2 linked regions of the Oryzias latipes genome follow. Each later gene encodes a partner of the first gene's protein in a complex. Links are inferred from orthologs where the notes say so. Each region holds a gene or a part of one and is shown in the gene's direction. Other genes may lie near its edges.

Region 1 (3,825 bases):
GAAAAACAACCCATTTTATGGAGTTCAGGAGGAGAGCGATCAGATTTTCTTCCTATTTGGTATTTGGTTTGAACTCTGACCTCTGATCATGTCATCATGCTGCGCCTTCGTTGCCAAAGTTCAGATATTTGAACTCTGGATGCACCATGCCACAACGACCGAGACGCGCTCCTGCCACACCACCGCACTGCGCCCGACCTTCAGAACACGTTGCAGGACCTTTCATCATGTCTGTCAAATTTTGATGCATGAATCACATTCAGTGTGAACGCAGCTTTAGAATTCTGTGCTTAATTTTCCACATTTGCTCTGGAAGCCTTCCTTAGAACTATCCTTAGCAGTCACTGTCACCAAGGAAAGTTTAATGATGATTCTTTTAAAGGAGAATGTCAATGTTTTACTATAAAATTAGGTTTTGTCAATATTCTTTCATGTTTCTCAGTTGACCTACCTTCACTTGGAAAAATGAAAATTACTCTTGAAAAGCTTGTTCCTTATAGTAAAATGATACTGGAATCTTTAAAGAAAATTCCTTGAAAGCTCCTCTGTTTAAACGTTGAGAACAGTGCAAGGCTGGTTTATCAATGCCATTTTATTGCACCATTTTTTTAAAATTAGCTTCATTAAGAAAAAAGTCTTTAAAAAAACAGATCTTAGCAAAGCATTTGAGTTCTGACCAGAAATCAGCTGCCAGGAACATCTTGAGTGTTTGTGAATGCATCATTGAGTACACGTTTTCACAGGTTTTTTTTGTTTCACTCTGTATTGTGCCATCAGCTTTGTTGGACCATGCTGGTCCTTTGTATTAAACTGATTAAATGTGCCAGGTCTGTCAGTGAGAGAGAGGTTTTTTGTGACTGTTTGGCCCTGTAAGTGAGCTGTAAGCATTAATGACCTAATTTCCTTTAATCCTCTTAAAATGCTTTTTTTTTTTTTAATCGTAAAAGCAAGTAATAAGGGAAAAATTCTAAAAATCTATGCATCACTAAATTTAGACAGTTGGATATTTTAATTTCATCCATGGTAAAAAAAAAAAAATATTTAAACATGTCTAGCTAAGCTAGACTTAAGATATTGCTGAAAAAAGAACAACCTCACCTTATCTACACACTGCATAGTGATTTTTACTGCACTGTTGCTGTAGTTATGTCACTTTAGTCTGCTCTGTAAAGGTTTCTTTGAATGCAAATCATACATTTTTGCTGTAATGCTTGTAGTTGTGTTTAAGAGCAGATTTTTCATTTCTTCAAATAGGTTTGGTGTATAAGAGCCCATAGGCAAAATTAGGAAATGAGTCAACAGTGGTGCTGTTTCTCTGGGCTTCCACCTCCATGTCTCTCTCAAATGCCTGTTGTCATGGGGATATGACACACAGAGGAGGCCAGACAAGACAGAATAGAGGGAGCTGGAGGTGGTTGTCTAAAGAAACCGCAAAATCTAACAATCCAACAGCTGTTTTCCATTATTTGTATCAACAAGGAGTTATTTGGTCATTCAACAAAATGTGTGCAACTGTAGGTGTTACAACCATTTGACTAACCATCTACCACCACACTTGGTGGCTAAAGCTGCTTGATTTAATCTCAATTGATGTGAGAATAGTTAAAGCAAACTACAGAATAAATAAACTTTTGAACCAGTGGCTATTTAGCAATTTTGAAACTCTTACGACCTGAAATATTAAATTGAAATATTTTTCATTATATTTTAACTGAAGCAAATAAAAGTACCATTTTCCTCCAAATTGGTTTTGGTTCATTTCTATAAATACTGCAATTCTATGTTTGTCCCAAGTATGTGAGGCAATGAATTGTTGATATAAATATATTGTTAGTATAAATATTTAAGTGTATTTCCAAAAAAAAAAAGACTGTCACTCTAGATATAAAGATCTTTTTAAATCTGTATAGATTTAGTGTGATTGAAGTTCTTTTTCTGATTGTTTTCCATATTTTAATTGTTTTTTTGTAATAGATCCTTAGTTGCTAAGACTTGCCTCCTAAATGTTTTCCATTCATTTAAATGGTAACCCTTAACGGTTTTTAAAAGATACATTACTGCTAAAGACAATGTTGTCTTTAGTTGTAATGTTACTTTGATTTCTGAATGTCACTTTGCTGCTGTAGTCAAAAGAATTTTCACTTTGTGGGATAACTAAAGTCTTATCTTAATATTAGTTCTGTGCTTTTTTTTTTCCTACCCTGGCAACAAGACACCCATTTTCTTTTTCTGTTTTTAAATCTCTTCTTCTTGTGTCTTCCTGACAGAAACAAATCATTGTTGACCCTCTGGCGTTCAGCGAGGAGCGCTTTCGTCCTTCTCTGGAGGAGCGCCTTGAAAGCATTATTAGTGGAGCTGCCCTCATGGCTGATTCCTCTTGCACACGTGATGACCGCAGGGAGCGCATTGTGGCGGAATGCAACTCTGTGCGTCAAGCACTACAGGACCTTCTGAGCGAGTACATGGGAAATGTAAGTGTCTTTAACTTTTTCCCCCATTTTTGATGTGCTGTTATGTCTTCTAAGTTTGGTTTGCTCTTTTTAATCACTAGTGACAAAAGGTGCGTTTAGATGCTGCATTTCTGACTTGATTGAGATCTATGGGTTCATAATTTGATTTATGGTTCAATACCATTTTATTAAATATTGATTAATTTCTCCTGTTTCAAAGTTCCAACCCCATTTTGCTTGGTTATGATTTTTCTCTTTCCTCAAAAAAGTACATAATTAAGGTTTAAACTGCACAAAAGTAAAACTTTTAAAGCTTGAAAATTTCTAAAAAATAAGAAATCTAATAAAAACATAAAGAAAACCTGATAAATATCACATAAATTCTTTAAATTAAAATTCATCCACTGTCATAAAATTGATATTGCATTTTTAGGCTAAGCATTGACTTAAGTATAGTTTCAGAGGTTTCACTTGTCAAAAAAAAAATGCACCCAAATCAAGTTTCAATAAAGGGGGCGGAAGAACTATTTTGGGGCTTCTGAACTATAGTTACTTATGTCTGAAAGTTTGGGCAGATTTAAACATCCTACACCTCAGAAACACTTTGTAAAGGTGTACCAAACGGCTCAGTTTTTTGGCGTGTGCACACACTAATTTGGATAGAGATAAATGTGTTTACAGGGCTTTTGGCTGTCCTTCGTTCAAATCTGCGACCGGTTGGTTACAAAGCCTGTGCAGTGGACCCCCCGACAATTGTCTGGGGGCCATTGCAGGACCTGTACATTTTGTCATATCTTCAGCAGTTTTTGAGTGGTTTTGTCTTGATTGTAACGGTACAGTTGTCGGAAGGCATCTGTTAAAAGCATTTAGTGAATAAAAATCGAGGCAAAGTTGGTCCTAAATACAGAAATCCTCTGGCCCTTTGCACATTTTTAGTCACGTCTTGGCCAGTGTGAACGTACTCAATCTAGAATGTAATCACCAAGCCATGCTAAATTGAGATTTAGAAATCACCCTCCACAGTAAGCCTGTAAACCTTGTTTGGTTGTATGTTAAAGTAATCCTCGTTATAAGTCTTTCATGCAGTACACTATTCTATTTAAATTTCACTGTAAGATGAAATACTATGGTTTTGTTTTAGCTTTATTCTGTGTTAATAAACTGTGTAGTCCACTAGGGATGTCAACGATTTCTGGGCATTTTAAATGGTTATGAAAACCATCAGCCACAGTCATCGCAAAGCACAACAGGAACTTTTGGAGGCGGTATAACCCTCCCTCAACCATAGAAGACGAACAAAAACTTGCATTTAGTGCTTCATTCACACCGTCCGCGTGTGGTGCGTTCAATAGCGCGGTCCACATGGTTTATGAAC
Region 2 (3,825 bases), on another chromosome or scaffold:
GTTAGCAGAGCAATGACTAAACTGAGTAATTTTTACTTTATTTTGCCTTTTTTAAGCAACCTTTACACTTTCTACAAAGCTTATTTTTAAATAAAAAAACTATTGAAAAATAATCATTTATCATTGCTTTTTGTGAATATTTCCCGCTTTAACTAGTTTCCCAAATTTTTGAAAGCTCTATTGGTACTCTATTGTCTTAATAAACTTAGTGAAATCTAATATATGTTAAAGTGAAAATTTGTTAAAAATTATTTTAAGTTATCAACTGTCGTGGATTAACAAAGGCACTTGTATGTTGTCTTGTACACAATGTATTTGATGATGATCATCTGTTATTGAAGGAAAAAAAAGAACAGTTTTAATGTTAACATTTTTATTGTCATCATTATGGAAACTTCAACTTTGACTGGACCTTCATGTAATTAAATCTTTTTAAACTTTATCTGGTTGGTAATCAACTATAAGATCATCTTTGATTTATGTGTAATGTGTCACATGTTTTGTGAGAGATACTTTTACATAAAGGAATATTTCATCTATTGTGTATAAAGATCAGAGTATCATGATCTCAGAAGCATGTGAAGGACCACAAACAGATCAAACGTCTTCAAATGAAAAGATGAAATTCACTATATTTGAAGTACGTTTTTTAAAAGCATAAATGTATGTTTTGTTATGATTTGTTTACAGTCTTACTTATCGGGTTCTCATGCAGTTGCAAAAAACATCAGTTTGAACAAACGGAAGATAAAGGATACCAGACACTTGTGAAATACAATAGAGAAGGACACCTCCTTAAACCTATAGTGAGTTGGTTGTGATGTTTCTTGTTTTTTTGTTTGTTTATTAAATTAGCTAAAGTTTGATGTTCAAAACATGATTTCAATGAAAAAACATTTTTTTTCTTTTTATGTTAGGCTCCGACTGAATTAACTGGACCTAATGCCATCAACCAGACCAACAATACAGTGGTAATCCTCACAACTTAATCCTGTTTGGACAGACAGTGTTTCACTGCAGCCATTTGTTCTTTTAAAGACAGTATGTTCATGTTTGCTGCTTAAACAGGCTCTAAAGAAAAGAGAATAATCTCTTTTCATACAATTTAGCACAAAGTACATTGCAAAACTAAAAGAAGACCCTCCATGTTTGTCTCCTATATGATATAATTACCTGAAGTTAACCAATGATTAATGAAGGAGAAGGAAAATATGTAAAATGGTCAGGGGTGCCCAAACTTTTTCATACATCATACTGCCTACTACTACATTTCCCACAATTAGATAATCTTATAAAGGTGTATTTTATTTTTAAAAAGAAGTCATGTAACCTACCCGACAACATTTTGAAAAAAAATCTCTTTTTGTTTAAGTTGAATTTATGCCCAAAAAAATGCAGCCTATTAACATTTTTAATTTATTAACAATAAAATAAGTACAAATCAGTTATGTATTTCTTTCTAAAAGGGAAACTAAGACTTTGTAGTTCCTAAGTTATAGTCAGTAAAAAGTCGAGTTGAAGGTTGCAGACTCCTGCTTTGGGTGTTTGCAGCAATCTTTAAATGTAGAATGAAGATCTGAAGAAGTGCAAGCTGCCTATCATCTTACAATTTGTATCCATCCTTGGTTAATTAATCCAGGGCTTATTGTGAGATGTACAGTATTTTTTTGTTTGTTTTTTCTTAGAAGTCTGCAACGTCTTCAGGACGTTCCCTCAACAAGAAAACGTACAGCTCAGGAGCGTACAGCATGGGGACTTCAGACTCGTTGAAGGAATCTATGGTTAAAAACAAAACTGAAGTATGATGCATCAAGTCTAAAATATTCATGTTAATGTTTAAGAGTACTCAAATCAGATACCTTTTAGTCATTTATTAAGCTTTCAAGCTTTTACTGTAACCTTTCACAGATGAGCATAAACAAACCAAACCTCGGTGGAAGTCATGTGAGTCGTTCCATGGTGAGGACATTTTTTTAACAGTTTTTGTACCACATTTAGGCAATGTGAATTTTGACCCTAATCCCTACTATAAAACTATCTAGTGTGGGATTATTAAATGCTCTGGATTATAAAAACAATTCAGACACCGCTCACACCTTTTTTTTTTAAACAGCAATTATGACATCAGTGATTTCACAAAATGAAAACCTAATCAACACGATCATGTTACGACAACCTTTTAGGAATCCACTGTGTTCTGATAAAGAAATGATTTTATTATTATGTTTATTATTATGTTTATTAGAAAAATACATATAAATACATTTTAAAACTCGCCAACAAACGCCGACCTTTTTTTTAAAACTAGTCCTCAACCACTAAAATGAACTCCAACAAGGTGTGTAGCGCTTTTCAAAAGAATAAAACATGTTTTGTCAGACTCAGACATCTGTTTTCTTTGTCTGCAGAACCAATCAGAGCAGGATCCTTTTTCAAGAGTACAGTCAAATATTCCTCTTCCTGATCAAATTAAAAAGGTAAGAGTTCCTCCTCTCTCCTCTTAAACAACTGATCTCAGCTAAATCAGAATCAGAAGTACTTTAAGTACTGTTTGTGTTATCCAAAGGAGAAACAGCAGGGGGTATTGGAAGAATGCCAAGTTTGGTTGACACATTCCTACCATAGTGTAGTATATGAGGAGAGATGCAGGTGGTCGCATGTGGAGTTGCACGGTACACCTGGAGCCAGTTTGTCACAATCTCTGTCCAAGGTAGGGACTGCTGAATTACAATCTGAATACAGGACCTGAGACCACGGTGAACTCTTTCAACCGCCCCATTGGCAGCTGGGTAGTAGACAGATGTTCTGCTGTGTGTTATGTCTCACAGAAGAAGAAAAGAGGCAAAAACGTGAGAGGTAAACTGTGCACCATTATCGGTGACTATGTTTTTGGGGTTACCATGTCGACTGAAAACACTAGTCAAGAACCAAATGACATCATTAGCGGGAGCAGTAGGTGAAAAAGCAAGTTCATGCCACTTAGAATAGTAATCGGTCAGCGCGATGGCAAACCTGCAGGTGGGGTCAGCAGTCTTAAAAGGTCCAACAATGTCAACTCCCAGCTTCTTCCATGGTCCATCAGGAAGTGGAACAGGCTGCAGGGGAGCAGAATGTGTATGGGCTGTTTTGTCATTAGTCTGACAAATGACACATGAGGCTATAGCAGCCCGCACTTGGGAGTCCATCTTTGGCCACCAATAAAGGTCCCTCAAGTGCTCTAGTGTGCACGATTCCTTGATGACTCTCATGGGCAAGTGTGATTGGGATTTACGGGAGGCAAAAGCCACTGTCTTCTCAGTGCCATCAGGGTGCACTTGAGCTAGCACAGCATCCAGTCCACAGTCGCTGGCATCGGTGGGCACCACAGTGTGTAGGGCTGGATCAAAAGGTGCCAGAGCAGCACTAGTAACCAGGAGGTGTTTAACTTTCTCGAAACTGGTTTGTGCAGCCAAGGTCCAGGTAAATGTGTTCTTTTCCTTGGCACAGATACGCATAGGGGCCACAACGGTTGCAAAATTGGGCAGAAATTTGGAGTACCAGTAAACCAAACCCAGGAAGGATCTCAGTGAAGCAGCATCAGATGGAGGAGGAGCTTACAGCCTCAATGTAGTCCTGATCAGGAAAAGTGCAATGATGGTTTTCTGAAATTGCAGTTTTGCTCATTGAGCACCAGTCCAGCTTCCTTGAGCCCCTGAAGGACAGCGTCATGGTTCTGATCATGTTCAGTATTGGTTTTGCCAAAAACAATGAGATCATCCAAGTAATTTTGGACATCAAGAAGATCTTTGAGGATTTCTCTCATCATTTTCTGGAAAGCTGAGGGGC

The links.
Region 2: ctnna1 (region 1) and cadherin-like protein 26 share a complex: the UniProt entries of both Homo sapiens proteins name them as parts of the cadherin:catenin adhesion complex. The link is inferred for Oryzias latipes from reciprocal best matches to the Homo sapiens genes CTNNA1 and CDH26.

What each region holds. Positions count from the first base shown.
Region 1 is NC_019868.2:19,914,739-19,918,563, forward strand, and holds part of ctnna1 (catenin alpha-1), read left to right. Parts: intron 1-2,267; coding exon 2,268-2,471; intron 2,472-3,825. UniProt on the Homo sapiens protein: Associates with the cytoplasmic domain of a variety of cadherins. The association of catenins to cadherins produces a complex which is linked to the actin filament network, and which seems to be of primary importance for cadherins cell-adhesion properties.
Region 2 is NC_019865.2:18,100,767-18,104,591, forward strand, and holds part of cadherin-like protein 26, read left to right. Parts: intron 1-690; coding exon 691-806; intron 807-917; coding exon 918-971; intron 972-1,685; coding exon 1,686-1,799; intron 1,800-1,908; coding exon 1,909-1,959; intron 1,960-2,408; coding exon 2,409-2,477; intron 2,478-3,825. UniProt on the Homo sapiens protein: Cadherins are calcium-dependent cell adhesion proteins. They preferentially interact with themselves in a homophilic manner in connecting cells; cadherins may thus contribute to the sorting of heterogeneous cell types.